7 linked regions of the Oryctolagus cuniculus genome follow. The protein of the gene in region 6 purifies or fractionates together with the protein of the main gene of each other region. This does not show direct contact. Links are inferred from orthologs where the notes say so. Each region holds a gene or a part of one and is shown on either strand. Other genes may lie near its edges.

Region 1 (3,736 bases), on a different chromosome or scaffold from region 6:
TAACGGTCTTAAAGAGCAGAAGATGGCCCAAACACCTGGGCCCCTGCACCCATGTGGGAGATGGGATTGAATTTCAGGGTCCTGGCTTTTGCCTGGCCCAGCTCCAGAGATCTGAAAAAAAAAAAAAAAAAAAAAAAAAAAAAAAAAAACGAAGATCACAGAAGACCTGAACTGAATTCCCAGTTCTGAGTTTCAGCAGATGGGAGTCACATGTGTCTGTTTCTGTCTCTCAAATTTTTTAAAAAATATATTTTTTTAAACAGCAAAAAAGCCTCAGCTAAAATTCTGTTGAGGTTCCCTTTTTTAAAATTTATACACTAGTCATAGCAAAGGAAAATAGCAATAGGCTGGCACACAGAAACTGAAAATGCCCCAGTACTATTATAAATTGATGTACTTACAGGAAGTTTGGTGAAGGCCGGGTTGGTGACATGCTTCCCAAAGGCATCTTCCTGGAACTGGAGAAGCTGTACCACCAGCCCAGCCAGTGTTTTATTGGTAGGAGCATCCGCATGAACATACTGCAAAATAAAGAGACAGACTTAAAAAGTGGTACAACTGTTGCAGGAGAGACTGCTGGCTTACTTCCTAGTATCTACTAAGCACTGCCATTCTAGTAGAATGGCATCTAGTACCTCTGCCTTTCAGATAAATAAATTTTTATTTAAAAAAATACCACACAGGCTCGCTCGGTTAATCCTCCGCCTGTGGCACCAGCATCCCATAAAGGCACCGGGTTCTAGTGCCGGCTGATACTCTTCTAGTCCAGCTCTCTGCTGTGGCCCGGGAGGGCAGTGCAGGATGGCCCAAGTGCTTGGGCCCCTGCCCCTCATGGGAGACCAAGAAGAAGCACCTGGCTCCTGGCTTCGGATCAGTGTAGCTCCGGCTGTAGCGCCCATTTGGGGGTTGAACCAACAGAAGGAAGACCTTTCTCTCTGCCTCTCTCTCTCTCTCACTGTCTATAACTCTACCTGTCAAATAAAAAAAATAAAAAAACACCCACACACCCACACATGTGACACATAGCAGTATATGCCAGACATGAATCAAACACTGAAGACAAATTTTATACAACAGAGCATATAAGATGTCAACTGTCAGTCTAAAGCCATTGTTCTCAAATTTTAGTAGACAGAGAAGGGCACTGTGCCTTGGGATACCCACATCTGACATCAGAGTGCCTGGAGTCAAGTCTCAACTGGGCCTCTGATCCGGCTTCCTGCTAACGCACATCTTAGGGGGCAGAAGATGATAGCTCAAGTACTTGGGTACCTGCTACCCATGTGGCTTACTTGAAATCAATTCCTGGCTTGTCAGCATTTAGGGAGTGAACAAGCAAATGGGAGAGCTCTCTCTGCCTTTCAAATAAAAAATGAAAATAAAAATTTGAAATAACATGTATCTTTGTGTATATTCTAAGGTCCTTTATAACATACATGTTTCATTCCCAATATTGTCATTCAGAATGAAAAAAAGCTATACTTAAGTGCATCTCATGGTATATATACTATATTTCAATAAAACATTAAAAAAAAAAAAAAAAACGGGAAAAAAATGTTCATGTGGGGGCCAGTATGGTGGCTTAGCAGGTTAGGCCCCGGAATCCCAAATGGGCGTTGAGTCCCAGCTGCTGCTCCACTTCCTATCCAGCTCCCCACTAATGCGGCTGGGAACACGGCAGAAGATGGCCCAAGAGCTTGGGACCCTGCGCCCATGTGGGAAAACCGGATGAAACTCCAGCTCCACCCAATGGGGCCATTTGGTGAGTGAACTAGCAGATGGAAGACCTCTCTTTCTATAACTGTCTTTCAAATAAATAACGATCTAAAAAAAAGGGGGGGGGGCAAAGAAAAATAAAGACATAGTGACAGAAAGAAAGATAGGGAGAGATCTCCCACCTGCTGGCTCACTCCTCAAAAGCCTGCAATAGCCTGGACTGGGCTGACGCTGGGAGCCAAGAACTAATCTAGGTATCCTATGCAGGTGGTAGGGACCTAGGTACTTGAGCCATAAACTATGGCCTCCCAGGTGCATTAACAGGATGCTAAAATGGAAGCAAAGGCAAGACTGGATCCCAGGCATGAATATATGAATGGGACACTGGCATCCCAAGCCACAGCTTAACTCGCTGCACCACAATGCACATTCTACCACAAGGCTCAAGTGTTTGAGTCTGTTACCCATAAGGGAGACTCAAAATTGAGTTCCCAGCTCTTGGCTTCCATCAGCCTTGGTCCAGTCCCAAATGTTGCAGTCATCTGGGGAGTAAACCAGCAGATGGACAACCTGTGTCTGTCTGTCTCTTCCTGTCTCCCTGCTGTACAAAATAATAAAATTAAGAAAAAAAAAGATTGTAGGAAATGGAAAGAAAAGATATGATTTATGAAAATAACTAGGATTGGTGTTGTGGCTCAGCAGGTCAAGCCGCTACCTACAATTCTGACACCCTATAAGAGAGCAAAGGATTTCATTCCATCTGCCCCACTTCCGATCCAGCTCCCTGCCAGTGTGCCTGGGAAAGCAGTAAAAGATGGCCCCGGTAATTGGAAGATTCAGATGGAGCTCCAGGCTCCAGGCTTCGGCTTGGCCCAATCTGGCTGTTGCAGCCATATGAGGAGCTAACTAGTGGATGCAAGACATCTATCACTCCCTGTCACTCTGCCTTTCAAATAAATAAATCTTGGCCGGCGCCGCGGCTCACTAGGCTAATCCTCTGCCTTGCGGCGCCGGCACACCGGGTTCTAGTCCCGGTCTGGGAGCCGGATTCTGTCCCGGTTGCCCCTCTTCCAGGCCAGCTCTCTGCTGTGGCCAGGGAGTGCAGTGGAGGATGGCCCAGGTGCTTGGGCCCTGTACCCCATGGGAGACCAGGATAAGCACCTGGCTCCTGGCTTTGGATCAGCGCGGCCATTGGAAGGTGAACCAACGGCTAAAGGAAGACCTTTCTCTCTCTCTCTCTCACTGTTCACTCTGCCTGTCAAAAAAATAAAAATAAATAAATAAAAAATAAATCTTAAAAATATTTACAGAGTTGGTGCTATGCACAGAGGGTTAAGCCACCATCTGCGGCACCAGCATCCCATATGGATGCCAGTTCAAGTCCCAGCTGCTGCACTCTGATCCAGCTCATTGCTAATAGCCTAGGAAAATCAGCAGAGGACGGCCCAAGCCCTTGGGCCCCTGCCACCCACATCGGAGACCCAGATGAAGCTACTGGCTTGGGCCTGGCCATTTGGGGAGAGAACCAGTGGACAGATCTCCCACTGTCTCTCCCTCTCTCTGTAATTCTGACTTTCAAATAAATAAATAAATCTTTTTAAAAAAATAACCATTTAACTATCTTTAACTGTCAAATAATTTGTGTAAAAGGTATTAAAACATCTTCCTTAGGTGACCTAACTTTAGTGATCATCCTGAAACCTCAAATCTTATTTCAACAATAAGTCAAACTTTGGGAAGAAACTTATCTGGGAGCTTAGATATCCTTCAGGCGGTGAACAAATCAGTCTGAAGTCAGTACTGTTAGGGTTTTATCAACTGAAAACTATTCAGGAGCTATGCGCAGAGGTAAGGCGCTCATCTTTATCAAACATGAGGTGAATGAAGTGTACTCAGTAATACAAAGGCAGCAGCTTAGGTGGAAAATGAACCCGGATTTTGTAATGCTGAAAGACCCAAATGTAATGTCAGCAAACAGTCTCCCATGCTTCAGTTTTCTCACCTAAGTGGTCACCTACTT
Region 2 (3,736 bases), on a different chromosome or scaffold from region 6:
GCCCAAGTGCTTGGGCCCTGCACCCCATGGGAGACCAGGAGAAGCACCTGGCTCCTGCCATCGGATCAGCGCGGTGCACCGGCCGCAGCGGCCATTGGAGGGTGAACCAACGGCAAAGGAAGACCTTTCTCTGTCTCTCTCTCACTGTCCACTCTGCCTGTCAAAAAAAAAAAAGGGGGGGGTATATTAACTAACTAGGGGTTACTAGTTCCCCCTGCATGACCAAATGGCTGGTTGAACCCTGGTTTCATGTACATACTTTTTAGAACCAGGTAACTCTTGGCACTGTGCAGTTTTCCAGTTCTTCAAAACACTGAAAGATTTGTCCTTAATTCAGATTTCAAATTGAATCTCTTTTTGGGTCAAAGCCGATTCCTGTATAATTTGGGTAGGAACAGGACCTCAGACTAAACAGGTTTCATGTCAGTAATGTTACTCAATGAAAGCTTCGAGGGGGGGTGGGTGTTTGGTACAACAGTTGACATGCCGCTTGGGACACACAGGTCCTGTATCCGAGTGCCAGGGCTCCAGTCCAGTTTTGCTCCTGTCCCAGCATTCTCGCTCTCGCACACCCTGGAAGGCAGCAGATGACGGCTCAAGTGCTTGGGTCCCTGCCTCCCACGTGGGAGGCCGCGCCTGAGTTCTGGGCCCCTGTTCTCAGCCTGCCCCAGCCCCAGCTGTGGTGAGCATTCGGGGAATAAACCAGGAGGTGGGAATGTCTAACTTACAATACAGAAGAGGGACAGGCATGGTGGGGCAGCAGGGCCGCTGCTTGCGATGCCGCGTCCCGTTCCGGAGTCCCGGCGCCAAGGCCTGGCCACTCTGCTGCTGACCCGGCTCCGGTGCTGGAGGCCCTGCAGCCATGGGAGACGGGGTGGAGCTCCTGGCTCCAGTCTGGCCCAGCTCTGGTGTTGCAGCCATCTGGGGAGTGAACCAGCGGATGGAAGGTCCAACTCCCCCTTCGCCCCCATGAGCTCTGCCTTTCAAATAAATAAAATACGGATGGAACGGATGGAAGTCCCCCAGTCACCAGCTTGTCTCCTTGGAGACCGGCTGTGTCTTTTCCACCCCTCTTACCCAGGTGACACATCGGCACGTTCTTGCTTTATCGTCCTAGTCTTGGAATTGTCTACTCCAATACATGAAGAGCTTCCTTTCTTCTGTGGCTATACCGTAGAGTGCTAAGTGTAGGACGTCCACCAGGCCGTCCTGAGCGCCTTCCCCATTTGTAAGGAGGGCTGACACCCAGGCCTCAGGCCCGTGAGGGCTCCGAGAACTGGCAGCTGACCTGAAACAGCGAGCACTGCGGTGGGCTCGGCAGAGTCACCGAGTAAGCGCTAGTGTGAGTGAGGCTCAGGTCTGCTCAGACATGATGAAATCACGCGTTCCCGGTGGTGATGTCCATGTGACAGCGCAGGGAGGAGCCTGCTGTCCCACGAGGTAGAGATGGAGGTACATAGAGGGGAAGTGCGAGCCCTCGTCTCCTGGGCCCTGCGGAGAAGCTAGCGTAGCGCCCTGCGGCTCCCCACACCCCGGCTCTCTCGCCAGGCTCGGGGAGCAGTACTACAAGGACGCCATGGAGCAGTGCCACAGTTACAACGCCCGCCTCTGTGCCGAGCGCAGCGTGCGCCTGCCCTTCCTGGACTCGCAGACCGGAGTCGCCCAGAGCAACTGTTACATCTGGATGGAAAAGCGGCACCGGGGTCCAGGTGAGGGTCCAGGCTCGGCAGGAGGAAGACTGGCTCGTGCTGGGCAAGGGTGCAGTTGAGTCTCCCCCGCGGCTGCCTGTGGTCTCCTGTGCTGAGAAACCCGTGGAGGGGGCAGGCCGGGTCGTCCAGCGTCTGCTGCCCTGCTGCAGCCATGGTTGGCTTCTGGAGGGCTGCGTGGTTGCCAAGGCCTGCGCCTGGATCTGTTTTTCTCTTTCACAAAGTAGCCCCCACCTCACTGTCAGTCTTACTCCCTTGCTCTAGAACTTGAGATGGGAGGGGGCCAGCATTAAACCAGGTTAAACCAGCGTACCAGGTTAAACCTCTGTGTGGGACCCCGGCATCCCATATGGGTGCCAGTTCAAGACCCAGCTGGTCCACTTCCAATCCAGCTCTCTGCTAATGGCCTGGGACAGCAGTGGAGGACGGCCCAAGTGCTTGGGCCCTTGCACCCATGTGGGAGACCTGGATGAAGCTCCAGGCTCCTGGCTTCGGCCCAGCCCAGCCCTGGCCATTGCAGTAATTTGGGGAATGAACCTGTGGATGGAAGATGTCTGTCTCTCCTCTCTTTCTGATGTTGCATTTCAAATAAATGAATCTTTTAAAATATTAAATTTAAAACAATAAAATAAAAAAGGGGGGAAGGGAAGCTGCTCATCTGGAAAGAGTTTGGTATTACTTTCTAGAACTAGGTTAGGGCTTGACTTCTTTCTCTTCATACCACAGGACTGGCCTCTGGTCAGCTGTACTCATACCCTGCCCGGCGCTGGCGGAAAAAGCGGCGAGCCCACCCCCCTGAGGATCCACGACTGTCCTTCCCATCCATTAAGCCAGGTGAGGTCGCCTGCCTCTGTGCGGAGGCCTGCCAGTCACCTGATAGGTACCAGACGCAGTGTTAGATCTCGAGTGTAGTAAGACGCGATTCTTCCCTGTGGAGAACGCCAGTGGTGGTGCCTGGGCGGCCGGAGCAGAGGCAGCGGCTGACCTCTGCTGTAGACCCAGGTCTGCTCGCAGCCCCTGAGCTCGCCTTGTCCTGACTGTGCCTGCAGACACGGAGCAGACCCTGAAGAAGGAGGGGCTGATCTCCCAGGACGGCAGCAGTTTGGAGGCTCTGCTGCGCACTGACCCTCTGGAGAAGCGAGGCGCCCCGGATCCCCGCGTCGACGACGACAGTCTGGGCGAGTTCCCCGTGACCAACAGTCGTGCCCGGAAGGTAGGAGGCCTTCGCTGCGGCTAAGGAAACTTCTCCGGGCAGTCCCTCATCGGGCACGCCCACCTAGCAGAGCCGAGCTGACCCCAGTCTCTGTTGGCAGGCGGTCTCTGCACCTCCTTTGCTTTTTTTTTTTAAGATTTATTGATTTATTTGAAAGGCAGAGTTACATCTGTTCTTTCATTCCCCAAATGGCTACAGTTGCCAGCGTGGGCCAGGCTGAAGCCAAGAGCTTCATTCAGGCTCCTACAGGGGCCCAGGATCTTGGAAGCCGAGCAGTGAGGACTCACACTGGCGCCCACGTGGGATGCAGCTGCACCTGCCACGCCCCTTCCCTCTAAGTGCAGACGCTCACCTGAGATTACGTAGGCGAGACAGACATGATCCCTGCCATCAGGGAGGATAAAGATGTCTCTGCAAATCAGAGCCAGGAGTACGGTGGGCAGTGTGCCAGTTGCTGCTTTATGTTCTTTCTTGTTTATGCTTTTTTTTAAATTTATTTTTGAAGATTTACTTTTATTTATTTGACAGAGTTACAGAGAGAGGTAGAGACAGAGAGAGAGGTCTTCCATTCACTCCCCAAATGGCTGCAATGGCTAAAACTGAGCCAATCTGAAGCCAGGAGCCAGGAGCTTCTTCCGGCTCTCCCACACGGGTGCAGGGGCCCAAGGACTTGGCCGTCTTCTACCGCTTTCCCAAGCGCATTAGCAGGGAGCTGAATTAGAAGTGGAGCAGCCCATATCGGATGCCAGTGCTGCAGGCTGGGGCTTTAACCTGCTGCGCCACCGCACCGGCCCCAGTCCATACTTTATGAGGCCCT
Region 3 (4,397 bases), on a different chromosome or scaffold from region 6:
TCTCCCAGCGAGGGCACACTGTGGGCGCTCCCCGGGCAGATCTGGTCAACACCCCCCCCCCATCCCCAGACCTCAGCGGCCCGGAGAGCCGATTCCGTCACAAAAGCCCCCCGCACCCAGCCCCGGGCCCCCACAGCCTCCCGCGACCGCGGGCGCTGTCTCGGAATCCCGTCACCACCCCAGCGCCTCGGGAGAGCCGGCGGGGCGAGGCTGCGGGTCCACCGGGCACCGGAGCGCCCGGCCCGGCCCGCGGCCGCGGGCGAAGCCCTGCGCGGCCCGCACGGCGCGGCCCGGACTCGGCGGGCGGACGCTCGCGCGCCCGACCTCGGCGGGAGGCGGCCGCCCGCGAAGATGGCCCTGGGCGCCGCGCCCCCGCCGCCCCCCAACCAGAAAACTGGGGAAAAGTACGCGGCAAAGAAAGAAACTCGGGCTCGCGGCGCGGCGAGGCCGCCGGGCGGAAGCAGGCCCGGCCGGCGCGGGGGTTACCTGGGATCTGCCCATGGTCGGTCCGGGGGTGCCGGGACTCATCGCCGGGTGACTCCTTTGTTGCGCGGCCGCCCAGGCCGGGCTGGCAGCGGCATACTGGGCGCCCATGTCCTTGCCCAAGCCCATGCCCGCGGCCGCCTGCTGGCCGCCCGCCGCCGCCCCCGCCGCCGCCGCCGCCTGGGACTGGGGCTGCGACGGCGGCGGCGGCGGCGCGCTGGGGCTGCTGTAGTCGGGGTAGCTGCCGCCGTAGCTCCGCATCATGGGGCTGGGCGAGGTGAGCAGCTGGTTGAGGGTCGGGGTGGCCCCCGACGGGTGCTGGTTCTGCCCGGCGAAGCGCTGGAAGCCCCCCGCCGCCGCGCCGGCGGCCGCCTTGCTGAGGCTCGCGGCCCCGCCGCCCCCGGGGCCCATCATCATGCCGCCGCCCTGCTGCCGGGGGGAGCTCAGCACCCCGTACCCCGAGGACGAGCCCCCATAGCTGCCGCCGCCGCCGCCGCCGCCTCCTGCTGCTGCTGCTGCCGCCGCCGCGGCCGCCGCCGCCACAGCTCCCGCTCCTGCTCCTGCTCCTGCTCCTGCTCCTCCTCCTCCTCCTCCTCCTCCGCTGCCTCCTCCTCCTCCTCCGCCTCCGCCGCCGCCGCCGCCGCCGCCCGCGCCGGGCCGGCTGTAGCCCGGATAATGGTTGTACTGGCTGTTGGGGTACCCTTCGTGGGAGTTCTGCAGGGGGTCCATGCTGCTGGGGGCCCCGGCGGCGGCTGAGGCGGAATGCATCATCCCCATCCCGGGGCTTTGTTGTCCGCCATGTTGATCAAAGCAAGGCCCAGCGCGGCCGCCGGGGCCGCCGCTAGCAGGGGCAGCGCTGCCATAGTAATTATTAAACTCCGAGACGGCCGCCTGGCCGCCGCCCCCGGGCACGGCGGCCGGCGACTGCTGCGCGCCCAGGGCGCCCAGGCCCGGGTGCTCGTAGCGGCCGCCCGCCGGCTCCCCCATCTTGGGCGGCGCGTCGTCCTCGTCGCCCGGCTTGCTCAGCAGCGGCTGGCCCGGGGGGTCGGCCTGGCTGCCCGCGGCACTGTCCTTGGCGCCTCCATGTTGCGGCTGCTCCATGTCGGGGCCCGGCTGAGGCGCGCCGCCGCCGCCGCCCGCGCCGCCCAGGCTGTTGTTGGAAATGGGATGTTGTTGCTGCTGCTGCTGCTGCTGCTGTTGCTGCTGCTGCTGGAACTGGTTTAGCTGCTGCTGTAGTGCGTGGTGGTGGTGGTGATGGTGGTGGTGGTGGTGGAGGTGGGCATGGTGGTCGTGGTGGTGGGCATGGTGGTGGTGGTGGTGGTGGGGCGGTGCGGCGGGGGCCTCGCCAACGGCTTTCAGTTTGTGGTTGGGGAGCAGCCCCGTCTCCATGGCCGAGCCCGGGCCCGACGAGGAGGAAGAGGAGGACGCCGCCGCCGCCGCCGCCGCGGAGGAGGAGGAGGAGGAGGACAGCGCGGCGGCGCTTCCAGCCTCCTTGAGAGCCGCCTCCGAGCCGCCGCTCTTGGCGCTGCTAGTGCTGGCGGCGGCGGCCGGGGCCGCGGCGCTCGCGTTATGGGCCATGTTCAGCTCGTGACGGGGGTGCAGGGGGTGGTGGTGCACATTATTCAGGCCGCCGCCGCCGCCGCCCCCCAGCATGGGTCCCGGTGCCGCCGGTGCCGCCGCCGCGCCGCGCGCCCCCGCCTCCAGGTCCCGGGCCCCGGGCGCCGGCCGCGGCCCGGGGGGCGCCCGCCGCTCGCCGCTGCCCGCCCGCGCCCGCGCCGCCGCCGCCGCTGCTGCCCGCGCGGCCATGATCGCCGCGGCGTGGCGAGGCCGGGCGGGCGGCGGGGGGAGACAATACCCCCACTTTTCAGGCCGCGGCCCCTCCTGCGCGCATCCACGCGGCCCGCCGGGAAGCCGCCGGCCCCCTCCCCCTCCGCAGGCCCCGCCGGAGCGCCGGGCCCGGGGCACGCCTTACGGTCTGGGCCTGCTCCCGCTGTGTGCTTTCACGGTGAAAGTTTTTAGTTCAGGTTTAAACGAAACTTTTCTCTTTTCCTCTCTAACCCGGATATGGGTAAATACACGACCGGCTGAGCCTATCGGGCCCAGCATGGCACGAGAAGGAGCCGAGCGAGCTGGAGCAACTATTATCCCACTTCTCTCTGATTGCTCCTGTGCACTCGCAAAACGCGGACTGGACTCGGCGCGGGCCGCAGCCGCCCGCCCGTGCCGGCGCAGCCTCGGGGGCCGGGGGCCGGGGGCCGGGGGCCGCGCGCAGGCCCGGGCCAAGGCCGGCTGGGCAGCCGCTCGGAGCGCGGCGGCGAGAGGCGGCCGGAGCTGCACTTTCCCCTCGTGCCTCCGTCTCCTTGCCAACCGGGCGTTCGCGTGTTTGTTTTCGCGTCTAAAAGGAACGCTCCAAAGGTGGAAAAACGAGTCTGTGGCGAGCAGACAAAAGAGGGAAGAAGGGCTGGGGCACGAAGTTGTCCGTGGGCCTCCGAGGTGACGAGGAGCCCACGGAGGAAAGAAAATATTTGGGCGATCTGCAAAAGCGCTGGCTCTCACAGGAGTTATGTAATTTTCCAGAACGTTGGCCTCCCTGCCTTGATTCCTGGCCATCGGCGTGATTCCCACAACTTCTTCCAACTGCAGAATTCAGGAAGGGCTTTCGGGGAGGGTTAGCCGCGTTCGAAGAGCACAGAGCCCTGTACACAGCAGGTACTCAATGGATGCTCACCGATGCCGGCACCTGCCCCAGAGATAATGGCTACGTGGCTGTTTTTAAGGCACCCTAGATTCCTGTGCAAGGAGTCTGTGGGGAGAGCTCGCACCCCTGTGTCCTCTCTGTCTCGGGCACACGCAGCCGAGGGTCACGCGGCACACAGCTTTCCCACGCAGATGCCACTATTTGTCCAAAGTCGAATCCCCCCCCCTCCGGTGATGTAGTAGCACCTTCCAGCGTTATTTCAGAGGGTAACGGGCACAGAGAACCCTCTTGAGAAAGTTTCTTTCCAAGTAACATGAAACAAAACTCAATAGATGTTAAATGTAATATAAATACAAGATCAATAACTATAAAACAGTCCAATCTAATGTAAAAGCAGAAATAGTACACAGTTGTGTATTGCAACAGTTTTTATTATGAGTTTACCACCTAGTATCATTATGAGTATCTTTAGTAACAGTACTTCTTAAGAAGTACTCTCCAGCTCTCCAGGGGTCACACTCCCAGAAATGAGATACACGATTTTGGTAGAGTATAGTTTTCCAAAATCATTTCATTCCTCAGCTTTCCATAGCAAGCATTTCGGCTTGTTTCGGATGCACTAGTTATGTATGCTTGACCAAGTGTAAGCATGTTACCTGACTAGAGACAGATAGCCAGACGGAGCTACTGGTGACTGGTGGGGGCGGGGAGCCAGGCGCACACCCAAGGGTCGTTATTTGGAGAAGAAACAACAAATTGCCATTCTGTCCAAACAACTGGAAAACGGGTAAGAGACAATAACAGAACTGTAAGAGGAAGTCATGCCAAATCATCAGTTTGTGCCAAGAGAACACTACATCTCTTTTAGTGGGCCTTTTGACATTTTTTTCCCTGGCTTTTCTCTATATATTCAAATACATACTAATTATACGTATTAACCACATATGTTGCATTTTAAAGTTTTCATATGCAAATATAAATGTTTTATGTATCTATATACATGTATTCTAAAATCAATCTTGTTTATGCTTCAGACATTGATAATCAAACTATATGCAAATAATCATACAGTGCTTTTATTCAGATTGATAAGCTAGATCAAAGTCAGTTCCTACAAGTTCAGCCGTACGTCCTGGCTGCTTTTCACAACTAGTCCTAAAAGGGAATCGCCAAGTTCACTTCTGGGCCTTAGAAATATTTTTTCATATCAGAAAAA
Region 4 (3,736 bases), on a different chromosome or scaffold from region 6:
GCCTTCCTCGAGCAGTGGGGTCTTATTAACTACCAGGTGGATGCCGAGAGCCGACCAACCCCCATGGGGCCTCCGCCCACCTCTCACTTCCATGTCTTGGCCGACACACCGTCGGGGCTGGTGCCTCTGCAGCCCAAGACCCCGCAGGTAGGGCGAGGGGCTGTGGGGACAGGGTGGGCTTGGGTAAGATTGGGCTTCTTCAGACTTTCTTTTTCTGGTTTTTAGGGTAATGGTTCAGGAGTATTTTGAGGCTTCTTCCTTTTCCATGGGAGGCGAAGGGCCACAGGCGTGAGCCCCGTGTGTTAGCACCCTCTCTCAGCCTCTGTACTCAAGGCTGCGAGGACTTCCTGAGGGAGTGAGATCCTCCTTGTCCTCAGGGAGCAGATAGGCCAGTGTAGGGTTGAAGCAGACAGAGGAAAATGGTGTAAAATTGACTTGCATGAAATTGTCACACTTCCTCATGTTTCCCACATTTTTTCATTTTTGTCTCATAATTATTATCACCTCCATTTTTTCCACTTCCATTTCATCTATTATAAAAATTAAGAGAAGAAAGGTTATGTGGCTTGCCCAAGGTCACAGAGTACCAAATCTAGGAATAGAATCTAATTGTCCAGCTCCTAAGAGAACCTTAAAAGTACATGTGCATACAAATGGACACCATGCCAACCATGTGTCTAATTAATCAGAAAGGGAACTGGAACAGTGGCATGAGTGCCCCAGAGCTTGCGGGCCACCCAGCATTTGGTCTTGGCCTGGTCATTTCCTGCCCAGCTTCCATGACGCCAAGCTCTGTCCCCCAGGGCCGCCAGGTTGATGCTGATACCAAGGCTGGGCGAAAGGGCAAAGAGCTGGATGACCTGGTGCCAGAGACGGCTAAGGGCAAGCCAGAGCTGGTAGGTGGGGTGCAGACCCCGCTGAGCTTCTTATTTGCCCCTTTATTGGGGGTCCCCTGCCCGGGAAAAAGAGGCATGAGAGCAGAGGAGCTACAGCAGTAGGGGAGGAAGTCCCGCCAGGGACGTCCCTGGACTGGGAAGGAAGCTCCTTCTGTCTGTTTTCTCTCTCTGTCTGCCCCTGACCCCCAGTGGTCACTCGTACTCACCTCTTTCTTTCCCCTCCACAAATAGCAGACCTCTGCTTCCCAACAAATGCTCAACTTTCCTGACAAAGGCAAAGAGAAACCAACAGACATGCAGAACTTCGGGCTGCGCACAGACATGTACACGAAGAAGAGCGTCCCCTCCAAGGTAGGCGGTGCAGGCTGGCTGCGGGGCTGGAGAACCTCTCCCAAGAGCTCCCAGGCTCCTGCCTCCTGACCCGCCTGCATCCTCTGCAGAGCAAAGCCGCAGCCAGTGCCACTCGAGAGTGGACAGAACAGGAGACCCTGCTACTCCTCGAGGTAATTGGGGCAAGGAAGAGAGTTCTGCTACAAAAACAGTAGGGACCAGGGTGCCAGCTGCACTTGGGAGCTGGGAGAGCTCATGGAGTCTGGCGTGAGCAGAGCACCATCTCTTCCCGGTCTCTCCCCTTCCTGATGTCTGTCACACCTGCCCCAGGGAACAGCTCCAGGCCAGGGATCTGGGACGTTTCTTTAACTTCAGATCCTTTCTTAGTGCTACTTGGAGATCCCCCTTGGATCCAGCAGAGTAAACACAAAGCAGAACACAGAGAGCTTTGAAGCCAGCTGCCCCTGGTAGCATAGCGGGAGTTGACCTCCAAGGAAGGTGGCTAAATAAGAAGAGTTATGTCTCCACCACCCCACCAGGCACTGGAAATGTACAAAGATGACTGGAACAAAGTATCTGAGCACGTGGGAAGCCGGACACAGGATGAGTGCATCTTGCATTTCCTTCGTCTTCCCATTGAAGACCCCTACCTGGAGGACTCGGAGGCCTCCCTGGGCCCCCTGGCCTACCAGCCCATCCCCTTCAGTCAGTCGGGCAACCCTGTCATGAGCACTGTTGCCTTCCTGGCCTCTGTCGTCGATCCCCGCGTCGCGTCTGCTGCTGCAAAGTCTGCCCTAGGTAACCGGGGTGGGGGTGCCGGCCTTCTTAGTTTGCGTGTGAAGGGCTGGTTACTCAGACTGGGAAACGCTCTCAAGTCCAGCTGCCCCGCTGGCCGCTCAGGGGCCTGTCTAGGTGCTGCGCTGGTCTTAGTTGAGAGGGGCTCTGAGATGGTGTCTACCAGGATAGCCAGAGCTGCCCGCCTGCACTGCTCCCAGCTGCATCCCCTGGGTCTTTCAGAGGAGTTCTCCAAAATGAAGGAAGAGGTGCCCACAGCCTTGGTGGAAGCCCACGTTCGGAAAGTGGAGGAAGCAGCCAAAGTGACAGGCAAGGCCGACCCAGCCTTTGGCCTGGAAAGCAGTGGCATCGCAGGAACCACCTCTGAGGAGCCTGAGCGGATCGGTAAGGCTTGGGACGTTTCCAGATCTCTCCCTTTCCTCCAAAAGCCACAGCCCTCTGGCCTCCCTGGGCCATCCCTGCCCCATGTTGGTATCAGAGCACAGCGGGACATGGCTTCTGGCTGGTCCTGTCACTAGGTTTTGGCTGGTGGAGGGGCTGTGGGGAGAGAGACTATCAGGCATTTCCTCTTCCCTTTCCTCTCCCCACGGGCCCAGAGGAGAGCGGGACTGACGAAGCCCGGGCGGAGGGCCAGGCCACAGATGAGAAGAAGGAGCCTAAGGTATAGAGGGACTGAGCTCAGGCCGGGAGGGGCAGGAGTGGCGGTGGTGGGTGAACAAGGGCTGTCCCCAGAGCCAGGTGGGCTCCGAACATGCCAGAGTGAATGCAGCTCCCAGTCTCCCCCACCTGATGCTCCCTGTCCTTTCCCTGGTGCCTCAGGAGCCCCGGGAAGGAGGAGGGGCTGGAGAGGAGGAGGCCAAGGAGAAAACTAGCGAGGCCCCCAAGAAGGATGAGGAGAAAGGGAAAGAAGGCGACAGCGAGAGGGAACCGGAGAAGAGTGATGCTGACTCAATGGGTGAGCATCCCGGACGGGGTGGGGGAAGAGGGATGGTGACCCAGGGGGTGAACATCCCGGACAGTGCCAGGGTTGGGGAAGAGCCCAGCAGAGACAAGTGGAGCTGTCAGACTAACTCAGCCCTCGCCCCGGCCCAGCTGATCCCGAGAAGGAGAAGGAGCCAAAGGAAGGGCAGGAGGAAGTGCTGAAGGAGGTGGTGGAGTCGGAGGGAGAAAGGAAGACGAAGGTGGAGCGGGACATTGGGGAGGGCAACCTCTCCACCGCCGCTGCCGCTGCCCTGGCTGCCGCCGCTGTGAAAGCCAAGGTGAGGCAGGCCCTGAAGACCCGAGGAAGATGCCCTCTAATCTCCTTCGCTTACAAGCCCTTCCTTGCTCACCCCTTGCTAGCCTGCTTTCTTGTTATTTTTATCCTAAAAGAGAGTCAGTCATCTCATCTCTAAGCTTTTTTAATTTGGGGGCCTGTTTCCAGCTCTGTAACCATGTGACTTCGTCTTATCTTTTGCTGCTCTTTTTTAAAAAAAATACCAAGCCAACACTTCTGTGGGTTGTGACCGCAGGGAGTTTGCTCTCACACCTGCCCATGTCTGCCCTGCCTTTCTCCCCTGGGATGTGTGCGGCGGGGTCCTGCTGCTCACAAGCCGTCCCTCCCCCCGCCCCCCCTCCCAGCACTTAGCTGCCGTCGAAGAAAGGAAGATCAAGTCTTTGGTGGCTCTGCTGGTGGAAACTCAGATGAAAAAGTTGGAGATCAAACTCCGGCACTT
Region 5 (4,285 bases), on a different chromosome or scaffold from region 6:
GGCAGCACTCAATGTGGCCGCAGCTGTAAGCCCAGGCCCCACACATGTCCCAGACTGCAACTTTTTTTTTTCCAGTGCCTGAGACAAGGGAGCAAGCAGCAATTGCAGGGGCGAGCTAGGGCCCTGCGGTCCCCACAAAGCCACTCACTAGGGCGCTCACCAAGCCTGCACCACCACCTAGCCCTCCTGAGCAGGTGCTCCGGAGACAGGAAGTCCCAGGACAAGGACAAGGCGCACAGGCAGGACCTGGAGCAGGTCCCGTGCCGGGCTCAGGGCCCCCGGCTCACCCTGGGCCCCAGGGAAAGGCTGCTTCGCAGCTGGAGTCCCAGTTCAGCCTTGCCAAGCTCCACACCTGGGCTTTGAAGCACCAGTAATTCCAACCCCTTCAAAAAACAACTCAGGAATTCTAAAAAAAGACCTACAACCTACAGCCCAAAACTCTCACCCTCCCTGACTCCTGACATGAAACAGGGTGAGGCAGGCCTGGTGGGGCCCCCTGAACCCCGAAAGTGTGCAGTGACCGCATCACCCGTCCCCCACACCAGCTGTTCCAAGGCCGGCCCCTCTGCTGAGCCGCCAGGTGAGCACGCGGTGCCCCGCCCCTGAGCTGTGGCCCTGCTGCTCAGGGTGTCAGCGGGGCATCCTGAGTTCTCTAGAGCAAAGCCAGCACCCGAGGTTTGGCCTTGAGCTTCTCTGCTGGCGGTGACCACCAGGCCCCCTCTGGAGGGAGGGGGCATCACAGCCCTTCCTTCCACAGGCTCCCTACCTGCCCGGCGTGGGCCTCGACTCCTTGCTCTTAGCTCCCTCTGCGAGTGCTGACAGACAGGAACCCTCAAGTCCCTTCTCCTGAAGTCACACAACGGGACCTGACTCAGCCCGGGGGGCCAGGTTCCCCTTCCCATCTCTCCGGAGGGGAGGAGGACAAAGTGGTGGCCAGGAAAGCCAGCCTCAGTGCCACTCCTAGTGGCCCACAGCCACGCAGCTAGGCCTGGCCACTGCCATCCTCTCAGGGGCATGGGCACTCTTCCCAAGGGCCGCATTGTCTGTTCCAGGTCCCTCCAAGGCCAAAGGCCCAGAGGTTCCCGGGCCAGGTCTCAGCAAACAGGCCCGAGGGCTGGAGTAACTGATGCAGGGACCCCTCAGCCACACCCTGAGTCCAGGAGTCCCCTAGGGAGTAGAGCAAGATAGGAGAGGAGGAGCCCCAGCGGGGCCCCTGGGACCAGGTCTCCCTCTGCACACACCCTCACCCTGTTTTCTTTTACGAAGGAGAGGGAATAAGGGAATACAAAATTCACTGTCCCCAGTAGGCATCGCCCGGGGATGTGAGAGCTCGGGGGTCCTGGAGGACACTCCCTGAGGACCCTCTGGGACCCCTGGCTGGGAGACACAATGAGGGAAGAGACCTTGGGAGACCAGCAAGCGGCAAACGCAGGGTGCATGGGTTAGGATGCGGGGTTGTCAGAACCCGGAGGCCAAGTAAATCGGAGAGGGCAGGGGGAAAAAAAAAGACAGGTATAATTCCTAAGCATTTGGGGCAACCTAAAATAACGGACCGGGAGACCAACCCCGCAGCAGGGCCAGACCGAGTGCTCACACGCCCGCCGTAAGGACCGTCGCGGCTCTGCCTCTCGGTGGCCTTTCGCGCTGCAACGTGAGCCTCTCTCGGACGTCAACCCGCAGGCGTCGGGACAGCGCTGGGAAGCAAACTCCTGCAGCCCCAGCCCGGCTCCTCCACTCAACCTCCCGCCACCAGGACGCCGCCAAGCAGAGAGCCCAGGACACGGTCTGCGCGCGATGGTCTCTCACTGGGCTGGGTCCTCCCTCCAGCCGGCTCGCCACCGCCTCTGGTCTAACCCGGAGTCAAATCCAGTGAAAAGCTCCTGGGTCTGCCCCTGCACACACAGGCTGGACTCCCCCGGCCCCAACCTCAGCCTCCCTGGCGGTGGGAAGCCAGGCCTCCTGCCGCCTCCTTAGCAGCTGGGAGCCATCTCAGACATGCTCCAGCCCTGCCAGTTCCCAACGAGAAAAAACAGGGCAGACTTGGAACAGGACCAAGGCCAACGCAGGGTAACCCCGGTCGCGCGGTGGGAGCCTTGTCCGAAACTTTCCCATCACATCCCGGGAACCCCGGACACGGGCTGCTCGGCCACGGTTCGCCGCCTCCCACAACTCCATCGCTCAGTTACTCGCAGCGCCCGCGCCAAGGAAGCCCTCGGAGCCCCCTCGCACTCCGCCACCGCCATAACCGAGCCGCGGCCAGAGGGCCCCCGCCGGGCCCTCCCCGGCCCCAGCGAGCTCCTGCCGCAGAGTCCTGCGCCCCCGGTCCAGGGGGCTCCCCCAGGGGCCCCACTCGAGGCGCCCTCGCTCCTCTCTCCTCACCTGGTACTGCGCCGCGGGGCCCGCGGGGCCCATGGGGCGGAAGGCGGCGGCCCCAGGGCCCCCCACGCCGCCAGCCGGCCCCGGGCCCCGGAGCGCCGGGCCCGGCAGCATGCCGGGTCCCGCCGGGGGAGGCGGCGCTCCCAGGGCGGCTGCCACGGCGCCGCCGCCGCCAGGGCTCAGCGGGGGCAGCGGGAACCCGCCCGCGCCACGGCCCGACATCGCTCCGTCCCGTCCCGGCCTCCGGGCTCCGCGTCGAGTCCGCTCCGCGCGCTGCGCTCCGCGATCCGGGACTTTCCGATCCTAATTCCGGGTTCCGGGCTTTGTGGATCCGGGATCCGGGATTTCCTAATCCAAGTTCGCGAGTTCCTTTCTGGCCTGGTCTGGGCCAGGGCCGACCCCGATTCCGCTCCTGGCCCGGGAGATTCCGGATCCGGGATAGGCTGCGGGCCCGCCTGCCGCCCCCGGCCTCGGGAGGTTTGGCCACCAGAGTCCGGTTACCCAAAGGCGGCGACTAACTCCCGGCCCCGCCCCACCCAGGCAGCACTCGGCCCCGCCCCTCCCTCGCAGTCCAATGCGAGACTGCCTCCTCAAATCCCGCCCTCGCGAGACGCACCCCTAGCAGGCACCGCCCCTAACCGCCGGCCTAGGGTACCGCCCACAACCCGTGGGCCCGCCCTTCGCGGAGAGGCGGGAGCGGAAGTGCGAACGGAAGTGCCGAGTGAGGCGGGGGGTCAGAAGTCGAAGGTCAGCGAGGTCCTGGGCTCTGCTAGCTCGGGTGTAGCCACTAAAGCGGATTAGTCCGCTACTCCCCCTCAAACTACTTCTGTTGAGTCTTTATACAGTTCAGCGTTGAAGACTCGGCCTGGGGCCGCCCTCTGACCTGGACGGCGCCAGGCCCAGGCCAGCTGTGTGAACCGTTGACTTGGCCTAGCGCCCGGTTCTTATCGCACATTTTTAACATGGCTCTGTCTCATTTTAAAGAAGCCTGGTACTTGACTCCACAGGAAATGGTTCTCGGCGAAGGAAATTTGCCCTGAGAAGCGCCCCCCCACCCCCCAGTTAAACAAGTTCTGTCTCCAGTATTTATAGCACTTTATCTTCAAACGTTCGGTACTACTGACCTGTATCAGAAGGTATTCCAAATAAACGCTTCAGCTGTGCCAGGTTCCTAACCCGCCCCCCACCCTCATGTGGGGTCTCCCCAGGACATAGACCAGTGCTTAGACTTTAATGAGCATACAGCACACCCGGGCTCTCATTATAAATGCAGATTATGGCTCACTGGGGCCGCGGCAGTCCTCCAACCCTCTGTTAGAAATTAGTTCCCACTCGTACCTCTGTAGCATTCCTTAGGTGACAAGCCCTGCTGCTCTGCTTTCCTGCATCTAAGATCCCTCTCCTCTTCCTCCCTAAAAGTTGGCCACCTGTCAGTATGGGGACAGACCCCTGCAACTGTGACAGTTACAGCCATCAAACCATGCCCCTTTCTACCCCAGCAAGGCTTCGTGATAAGGCAGCGAATGTCCCCTCCAACTCTGAAGCTTCCAGACCAGCGGTAGTTCTTGAGGAAGTGGTGGCCATTCCAAAATATCCCTGCCAGCCATACCTCCAAACCAATGACCTCCAGCGTTGCATTTTAAAAATAAGTTAGGTAATTCTAATACCCCTTGATGAGAACTACTGTAGAAAAGAAATAACTATTAAGTGCATTTAAAAACATTGTTAAATATAATCAGGTCGCATTAATCTGTTACTTAAAACTCCCCAGGTCCCCAGTGCCCTTAAATTGAATGCCGTACTCCCTCCCAGGATACGTAAGGCTCCGAAGAACCGGCTTACAGCTTCCTCCTTGGGCGGCTCATTTTAAATCACTGCCATTGGTTAAGTGCCAGCCAGCTGGTAGCCC
Region 6 (3,736 bases):
GGCCTGGAGGTGGGATGTGGCGTCAGCCTTGGAGAGAAGCCTACGTGAGCTGTTTCTGAGTCCCTGGAGGCAGGGGTTAGGAAGCTAGGGAGAGCTTGCTCTCATTATTTTCATTATTTGAAAGAGTGACAGAGAGAAGGAAAGAGAGATAGAGAGAGATCTTCCATCTGTTGGCTCACTCCCCAAATATCTGCAGCAGCCAGGGCTGAGGCAGATGAAAGCCAGGAGCCAGGAACTCAATCCAGGCCTCCCGTGCGGGGAGCAGGGTGGAACCATCACCGGCTGCCTCCCAGGGCACCCATCAGCAGGAAGCAGGGCTGGGACTCAGCCCCAGGCAGACTGACGTGCGATGTGGGTGCCCCAGGTGCATCCTAACAGCTGAGCCAGACGTCTGCCTTCTTTCCCTACTTTGAAAGGACTACAAGCTCCACAGTGTCCTAGGAGAGTCCCTGTGAGGGGCAGGGCCCTCTGGCCGAGCGCCTGGCCACTACGAAGTGATGGTGAGTGACCTGCGGGCAGGCCCAGAGAGCTGACGGCCCTGAGTCAGGAGGAGAGAGCAGGAGACAGACGTGTGGCCTGAAGTGTTGCTCAGAACGCCAGGCTGTCTGTTCGACTGGACCTCTCCCACCTCCTGCTCACATCCTGAGCTCGGGTGGAGGTGGGGAGCAAGGGGAGAGGCCCGGTTTCAGCTTTGAGGTTTGGGTCGTCCTCAGGGACGCCCTCACACAGCTTTGGGATGCCAATTTGGAACTCTCCAGGCGCTGGCCAGAGATGGAGCTGGCACTGGAACCGGGGTCTGACTCTGGGACGCCTAACCTCATCACCGGCCCTACATCTGCAGCGACTGGCCCGGAGGAGGACGCCCCATGACGCCTCAGAGAGGGGCTTGGCTGCACAATTCCCAGCGACGCCCTGGCGTCCCAGCTCCAGAGGACGCTTGCAAGGCTTTTGTGGATTCAAAGAAATGAAAATGAAGAGGCTGGGGCAGGCGCTGCAATACAGAGGGGTAAGACACAGTCTGCAACACCGGCATCTCACATGGGAGTGCAGGGTCAAGCCCCAGCTGCTCCGCATCCATCCAGCTTCCTGCAAAGGCTTCTGGGAAGGCAGCAAAAAAATGGCCCAAGAACTTGGCTCCCTGCCACTCATGGGGAGACCAGGGAGCTCTGGGCTCACATCCATGGCCTGGCCCAGACCTGGCTGATGCAGGCATTTGAGGAACAAACCAGCTGACAGAAGATCAACCTCTCTGTCTCCATCTCTCTCTGTACTCTTTCAAATAAATCTTTACAAATAAATACTTTTTAAAAATACTTATTTGTATTATATTTATAAATAAATATTTTAAAAAACATGGGCACCAATTCAAGCCCGAGATGCTCTACTTCTGATCCCGCTCTCTGCCATGGCTTGGGAGAGCGGTATGGCCCAAGTCCTTGGGCCCCTCTACCCACGTGGGAGACCCAGAGGAAGCTCCTGGCTCCTGGCTTTGGATAGGCACAGTTCTGGCCATTGTGGCCATCTGGGGGAGTGAATCACTGGATGGAAGATCACTCTCTCTCTGCCTCTGCTTCCCTGTAACTCTTTCTTTCTTTTTTTTTTTTTTTTTTTTTTTTTTGACAGGCAGAGTGGACAGTGAGAGACAGAGAGAAAGGTCTTCCTTTTCCATTGGTTCACTCTCCAATGGCCGCCATGGCCGGCGTGCTGCGGCCAGTGCACCACGCTGATCCAAAGCCAGGAGCCAGGTGCTTCTCCTGGTCTCCCATGGGGTGCAGGGCCCAAGCACTTGGGCCATCCTCCACTGCACTCCCTGGCCACAGCAGAGAGCTGGCCTGGAAGAGGGGCAACCGGGACAGAATCCGGCGCCCCGACCGGGACTAGAACCCAGGGTGCCGGCGCTGCAGGCAGAGGATTAGCCTATTGAGCCGCAGCGCCGGCCTTGTAACTCTACCTTTCAAACAAACAAATAAATCTTGGGGAAAAAAAAATAGCCGGGACATGAACCAGAACCCATATGGGATGCCAGCCCTGCAGGCCACGGCTCAACCTGCTATGCCACAATGTCAGCCCTTAAAATAAATATTTTTTTTTTAAAGTGAAGAAGGTGGCCAGTGCCACGGCTCACTAGGCTAATCCTCTGCCTGCGGCGCTGGCACTCTGGGTTCTAGTCCCGGTTGGGGCACCGGGTTCTGTCCTGGTTGCTCCTCTTCCAGTCCAGCTCTCTGCTCTGGCCCGGGAAGGCAGTGGAGGATGGCCCAATTGCTTGGGCCCTGCATCCGCATGGGAGACCAGGAGGAGGCACCTGGCTCCTGGCTTCGGATCGGCACAGTGCGCTGGCTGTAGTGGCCATTTGGGGGGTGAACCAACAGAAGGAAGACCTTTCTCTCTGTCTCTCTTTCACTAACTCTGCCTGTCAAAAAAATAAATAAATAAATAAAGTGAAGGTGAGGCTGAGATGAAGGGCCCCTCCTCCTCCTCCTCTTCCCCCAGAGGCACCCCGAGGCCATGGCCCTGGCACCCAGGCCAGGACACAGGACCATACTCATGGGTGCTGCTCCAATACAAGAACACCATTCCACCATTCCTGACAACCCAGTGGGCCTGGCCACTAGCGCTGGCCCCGAGGCCTTGATCGAGGTACCTGAGAGATTGCTGATGACTCGGCGGCCAGACCCGAGTCCCCGGAAGGTTGCCGTTCTCCTTTCTCTGAGCTGTTCATGGCGTTTTCCACCGGAGACTGAGAATTCTGCTCGTCAGAAGCATCTGAGGGAAAAGCAGACAACAGAAGCTGTTTTCAGACACGTGATATTTGGAGCCAGATGGGCCCAGGACTAAAAATACCGGGTAGCTCTGTGGCCCGGGATCTTTCAGGACTGCGATAGGGCAGCGGCTTGGGAAGTCTCTTGTTTATCATTTCAGTGACGTTGCTTTAAGCAATCGGGCGGGGCCAGCATTGCGACATAGGGGGTAAAGCCACCGCCTGTGACACAGCATCCCATGTGGGCACCGGTTCATGTTCCGGCTGCTCCACTTCTCATCCATCTCCCTGTTAATGGCCTGGGAGAAGCAGCGGAACATGGTCTGGGGCCCTGCTACCCATGTGGGAGGCCTGGAAGAAGCTCCTGGCTTCAGCCTGGCCCCCAGCCCTCGCCACTGCGGCCATCTGGGGAATGAACCAACAGATGGAAGATCTTTCTCCCTCTGACTCTTTCAAACAAATCAATAAATCTTACCCCCCTTCAAAAAAAAAAAGCAGCCAGGCTACACACCAGCCCCATGGTCTCCCGCCCTCCCCACATCCGTTAGCTGCCCAGTGCTCCAGGAAGAACTAAAGGATGCCACAGCGTGCTGCGTGCAGCTGGTGCCCTCTGGTGGGCCCAATGCACCAGGACAAGCATGGCTGTCAATTCCTCTCGCCAGCAGGGAGAAGGCAGCCAGGGTGACTGGCAGTTCCTTTCGGTCTGCACTTCCCTGTACGGGGGCAGAGGGACTGGACTGCACCTTTATGAATAGCGCTCTTAAACACACGGGGGTTTCTGGCTGTCCCAGCAATGAATAACAGGACACAGAATTAAGGAAAAATAAAGTACAAATCATCCGTTATTCCAGGCCAGCCAGAGACAGCCCCCACCAACACGTCACAGGGCTGACACCCAGATTCCAAGGCCAGCAGCCCAATGCGTCACTGCCTCCTCTCCTCAGACGGGGACCACCTGCGATCTCAGAATTATGAGCC
Region 7 (3,736 bases), on a different chromosome or scaffold from region 6:
CGTGCTCAGTGGTATTTGTGGAGCACACTATGTGCAGGCATGATTCATTCATTCATTTTTTTTTTTTTTTTGGACAGGCAGAGTTAGTGAGAGAGAGAGACAGAGAGAAAGGTCTTCCTTTTTTCCGTTGGTTCACCCCCCAAGTGGCTGCTATGGTTGGCACATTGTGGCCAGTGCACTGCGTGGATCCAAAGCCAGGAAAACAGGTGCTTCCTCCTGGTCTCCCATGTGGCCATCCTCCACTGCCTTCCCGGGCCACAGCAGAGAGCTGGACTGGAAGAGGAGCAGCCAGGACAGAATCCGGCACCCTGACAGGGACTAGAACCCGGGGTGCCGGCACTGCAGGCAGAGGATTAGCCTAGTGAGCCGTGGTGCCGGCTCATTTATTCATTTTTAAAAAAGATTTATTTATTTATTTGAAAGGCGGAGTTACAGACAGAGGGAGAGAGAGAGAGAGAGAGAAAGAGAGAGAGAGGGAGAGAGAGGTCTTCCATTCACTGGGTCACTCCCCAAACGGCTGCAATGGCCAGAGCTGGGCTGATCCGAAGCCAGGAGCCAGGAGATCTTCTGGGTCTCCCACATGGATGCAGGGGCCCAAGGACTTGGGCCATTTTCTCTGCTTTCCCAGGCCACAGCAGAGAGCTGGATCGGAAGTGTAGCAGCCGGGTCTTGAATCAGCACCCATGCATGATTCTTCTTAACAGTGATCACTCTTTTACTTCTTTTAATAAATAATTTTAAAGGATTTATTTATTTGAAAGAGAGTGACAGAGAGAGAGATGGGGGGCAGAGAGAGAGAGAGCGAGCTTCCACCCACCGGCTCACTCCCCAAGTGGCTACAACAGCTAGGTCTGGACCAGGCCAAAGCCAGGAGCCAGGAGCCCCACCCTGGTCTGCCACAGGGGTGCAGGGGCCCAAGCACCCGGGCCACCCTCCATTGCCTTCCCAGGCACCTTAGCGGCAGGGAGCTGGATCGGAAGTGGAGCAACTGACTTTCAGATAAGAGATGCTGGAGTCACAAGTGGTGGCTTAAGCCGCTGAGCCACAACACCGGCCCCACCATTTTACTTCTTAGTGCAGGTCAGATCCTCTTCCTAAAATGAGTTTATCGAGTTCTCATTATCTGCCAGGCACCTCTTCAAAAATTTTTTTTTTATTTAAAAAATAAAATTTATTAGAGAGAGAGAGAGGGAGAGAAATAGACAGAGAGACCTTCTATCTGCTGGTTCACACCATAGGTGCCTGAACCAGCTGGGTCTGGGCCAGGCCAAAGCCATAAGCCCAGAACTCCATCCAGGTCTCCCTCGTGCATGGCAGGAACCCAAATACTTGAGCCATCCACCTGCTGCTTCCCAGGGTGTGCGTTGGCAGGAAGCTCTAACGGAGAGTGCAGCCAGCTCCAGTATGGGTGTGGGTGTGGGTGTGGGTGCTGGCGACCCAAGAGGTGTCTTAACTGCTCTCCCAAACTCCCTCCGCAGTCACGTCCCCTTTAAAACACCCACATCAACCCTCACAACCATCCCATCCGGCATCGAATGGGATGAAGCGAAAACCGAGGTCCAGAAAGCTTGTCATTTGCCCAAGACCCAAAGGGCACGGCCAGCGAGAGGTGTGGTTACCGGTGCCCGCCAGAACTAAGCAGGGTGGGTGGGGTGCCGGCCACGAGTGGGGCGGGGTCGGGCTCTGCAGAGCCCGCGGGGTCCAGGGACCGGCATCCAAGGTGTGCCTAATTCTCGGCGTTGACGTGGGAGTGCGCGCGGGGCTGTGTGTGCCCGTGTGAGGCTGTGCACGTGAGACGGGGAGGTGTGTAGGACGGCGCGTGCGAGCCACACTGTGCGCGCTCCTTGGGCCCCGCCTCCGCATCGCCGGTCGCCGCGGGCTCGGGCCCGGGCCCGGGACTACAACTCCCAGCATGGGCCGCGCGGGCACGCCCCGCCGGCGTGATTGGCTGTGGCCCGCGTGCTCCCGCCCCCCGGGAATGAATGGATGGGCGGCCTCAGCGCCCGCCCGACCGCTGGGAGGACCGACCCGGCGGGGACCTGCTGGGGGCAGGACCCGGGGAGCAAGATGGCCACGGTCATCCCCGGCCCCCTGAGGTGGTGCGGGCCGGCGGGAGGCGCGGGCGGGCGCGCGGGCGGGTCTGCGCAGGCATGTGTGCCCGTGTGTGCCTGTGTGTGCGTGTGTGTGTGGCGGCTGGGGGTGGGGCCGAGGGGGTGTCTGGGGGGTTGTCACCGGGTGCGGGGCTGCGTGGGGGTGCGAGTGTGCGTGACCGTGGGTCTCCGGCAAGAATGGTGTCCGGCGCGCTGCTCTGCAAGGGGCGGAGGGCTAGGGCCGACTCTGGTCCTTTCCAGGAAAGGGGTCATCGCCCCTGCCTCGCGACCCCCGGGTTTGGGAGAGGGGGAAAGGGCCTGGGGAACGGAGGGGCCTTGGTAAACTCCAGTGAAGTCCACACCACCTTTGTCTGGGATGTGGAGTGTGTGTGTGTGTGTGTGTGTGTGTGAGAGAGCGAGAGAGAGAGCGACAGCGAGAGTTCTCTGTATGTGTGTGTGGCTCTGTCTGGATATGTGTTGGATTTCTTTTATTCCGCGTTGGACATCTTTGGGTCTCTGAGCGTGTGTGCACCCCTCCGGGATGGCACCCACGATCTAGTGTCCTGTGTTTGGGGAGCTGTAGACAGGCATGCATGCACTTTTCTGTAAATTGTTGTGTGATGTTGGTGGATTTGATGTGTGTGTGTGTGTGTGTGTGTGTCTTTGGCTATGTGCTATTTTAGATACCAAATTCTACATCGTGCATATTTGTGAGTGTGTATGTGTGTACCTGTGTGAATCCGTGTGATTTCTTTGTATATTGTGTGTCTGGTATGTGTGTGTGTGTGTGATTTGTGTGTCTGGATACTGTGGGTGAATGCCTGGGAGCCATTTGTCTTACAGTCTCTCTCTTTTGACGTTTGTGCATCTGTGTGTGTCTCTGGGTGCACAAGTTTGTGTGTGTGTGCGCGCGCGCACGTGTGATGTGGCCTAGTCTACCTTGTGAGTCTTTGTGGGTGGCTTGTTTGTGTTGTGTGTCTTCGGATACCTGACACATACTTGTGCACGGATCTGTCTCTTTCCACACCAGGTCACTTGGGATATGTGTGCTTTTCCGGGGATATCTGTGTGTGCACGTGTGTGAGATTTGTGATTCTCCTTTGTGAGTATTGAATCCGTCTCTTTGTGTGTGGAGCCCGTGTGAGTGTGTGATTCGTTTGGTTGTGTGTTCACGTATGGATGGGTCCTGGTGTATTTTTTGTCCGTTTTATATTGTGGGCATCTCCTGAGCTGGAGGCCTGCGTAAGCCCCAGACTGGGGGCCCCTTGGCGCCGTGTCCCGCCCCCCCACCCCAGCCTGGGTCCAGGAGGGGCGAGGTGAGAGTGGACGGGGCAGCCCCACGTCCCCCCCGGGAGCAAGCAGGGCAGGGCGGGCCAGGGAGCAGGGCAGGGCGGCCCGGGGAGCGGGGCGGCCGGGGAGCGGGGCAGGGCTGCCCCCGCTGACAGCCGCCCGCCCGCTGCCGCCCTCGCAGCCTAGGCGAGGACTTCTACCGCGAGGCCATCGAGCACTGCCGCAGCTACAACGCGCGCCTGTGCGCCGAGCGCAGCCTGCGCCTGCCCTTCCTCGACTCGCAGACCGGCGTGGCCCAGAACAACTGCTACATCTGGATGGAGAAGACCCACCGCGGGCCCGGTGCGCGAGGGAGG

Evidence for each region.
Region 1: the proteins of BCL7A (region 6) and SMARCC1 purify together in Homo sapiens (affinity purification with mass spectrometry; 4 studies listed by BioGRID and IntAct, counting the BioPlex papers as one, with this or other methods). This does not show direct contact. The link is inferred for Oryctolagus cuniculus from reciprocal best matches to the Homo sapiens genes BCL7A and SMARCC1.
Region 2: the proteins of BCL7A (region 6) and DPF2 purify together in Homo sapiens (affinity purification with mass spectrometry; 3 studies listed by BioGRID and IntAct, counting the BioPlex papers as one, with this or other methods). This does not show direct contact. The link is inferred for Oryctolagus cuniculus from reciprocal best matches to the Homo sapiens genes BCL7A and DPF2.
Region 3: the proteins of BCL7A (region 6) and ARID1B purify together in Homo sapiens (affinity purification with mass spectrometry; 4 studies listed by BioGRID and IntAct, counting the BioPlex papers as one, with this or other methods). This does not show direct contact. The link is inferred for Oryctolagus cuniculus from reciprocal best matches to the Homo sapiens genes BCL7A and ARID1B.
Region 4: the proteins of BCL7A (region 6) and SMARCC2 purify together in Homo sapiens (affinity purification with mass spectrometry; 4 studies listed by BioGRID and IntAct, counting the BioPlex papers as one, with this or other methods). This does not show direct contact. The link is inferred for Oryctolagus cuniculus from reciprocal best matches to the Homo sapiens genes BCL7A and SMARCC2.
Region 5: the proteins of BCL7A (region 6) and SMARCD2 purify together in Homo sapiens (affinity purification with mass spectrometry; 5 studies listed by BioGRID and IntAct, counting the BioPlex papers as one, with this or other methods). This does not show direct contact. The link is inferred for Oryctolagus cuniculus from reciprocal best matches to the Homo sapiens genes BCL7A and SMARCD2.
Region 7: the proteins of BCL7A (region 6) and DPF1 purify together in Homo sapiens (affinity purification with mass spectrometry; 3 studies listed by BioGRID and IntAct, counting the BioPlex papers as one, with this or other methods). This does not show direct contact. The link is inferred for Oryctolagus cuniculus from reciprocal best matches to the Homo sapiens genes BCL7A and DPF1.

The regions. Positions count from the first base shown.
Region 1 is NC_091441.1:101,101,452-101,105,187, reverse strand, and holds part of SMARCC1 (SWI/SNF complex subunit SMARCC1), read right to left. Parts: intron 522-3,736; coding exon 402-521; intron 1-401. UniProt on the Homo sapiens protein: Involved in transcriptional activation and repression of select genes by chromatin remodeling (alteration of DNA-nucleosome topology).
Region 2 is NC_091432.1:6,288,911-6,292,646, reverse strand, and holds part of DPF2 (zinc finger protein ubi-d4), read left to right. Parts: intron 1-503; 5' UTR 504-587; coding exon 588-682; intron 683-1,081; exon of another isoform or gene 1,082-1,452; intron 1,453-1,548; coding exon 1,549-1,709; intron 1,710-2,432; coding exon 2,433-2,540; intron 2,541-2,755; coding exon 2,756-2,919; intron 2,920-3,736. UniProt on the Homo sapiens protein: Plays an active role in transcriptional regulation by binding modified histones H3 and H4. Is a negative regulator of myeloid differentiation of hematopoietic progenitor cells. Might also have a role in the development and maturation of lymphoid cells.
Region 3 is NC_091436.1:10,839,423-10,843,819, forward strand, and holds the start of ARID1B (AT-rich interactive domain-containing protein 1B), read right to left. Parts: upstream 2,951-4,397; 5' UTR 2,290-2,950; coding exon 487-2,289; intron 22-486; exon of another isoform or gene 1-21. UniProt on the Homo sapiens protein: Involved in transcriptional activation and repression of select genes by chromatin remodeling (alteration of DNA-nucleosome topology).
Region 4 is NC_091442.1:58,974,207-58,977,942, reverse strand, and holds part of SMARCC2 (SWI/SNF complex subunit SMARCC2), read left to right. Parts: coding exon 1-147; intron 148-803; coding exon 804-896; intron 897-1,127; coding exon 1,128-1,247; intron 1,248-1,336; coding exon 1,337-1,399; intron 1,400-1,765; coding exon 1,766-2,024; intron 2,025-2,243; coding exon 2,244-2,406; intron 2,407-2,612; coding exon 2,613-2,682; intron 2,683-2,840; coding exon 2,841-2,976; intron 2,977-3,113; coding exon 3,114-3,280; intron 3,281-3,641; coding exon 3,642-3,736. UniProt on the Homo sapiens protein: Involved in transcriptional activation and repression of select genes by chromatin remodeling (alteration of DNA-nucleosome topology).
Region 5 is NC_091448.1:14,876,064-14,880,348, reverse strand, and holds the start of SMARCD2 (SWI/SNF-related matrix-associated actin-dependent regulator of chromatin subfamily D member 2), read right to left. Parts: upstream 2,824-4,285; 5' UTR 2,599-2,823; coding exon 2,380-2,598; intron 1,992-2,379; exon of another isoform or gene 1,566-1,991; intron 1-1,565. UniProt on the Homo sapiens protein: Involved in transcriptional activation and repression of select genes by chromatin remodeling (alteration of DNA-nucleosome topology).
Region 6 is NC_091452.1:7,043,992-7,047,727, forward strand, and holds part of BCL7A (B-cell CLL/lymphoma 7 protein family member A), read right to left. Parts: intron 2,764-3,736; coding exon 2,642-2,763; intron 1-2,641.
Region 7 is NC_091449.1:16,356,131-16,359,866, forward strand, and holds part of DPF1 (zinc finger protein neuro-d4), read left to right. Parts: intron 1-1,674; exon of another isoform or gene 1,675-1,986; coding exon of another isoform or gene 1,987-2,096; intron 2,097-2,212; exon of another isoform or gene 2,213-2,429; intron 2,430-2,487; exon of another isoform or gene 2,488-3,269; coding exon of another isoform or gene 3,270-3,406; intron 3,407-3,561; coding exon 3,562-3,722; intron 3,723-3,736. UniProt on the Homo sapiens protein: May have an important role in developing neurons by participating in regulation of cell survival, possibly as a neurospecific transcription factor. Belongs to the neuron-specific chromatin remodeling complex (nBAF complex).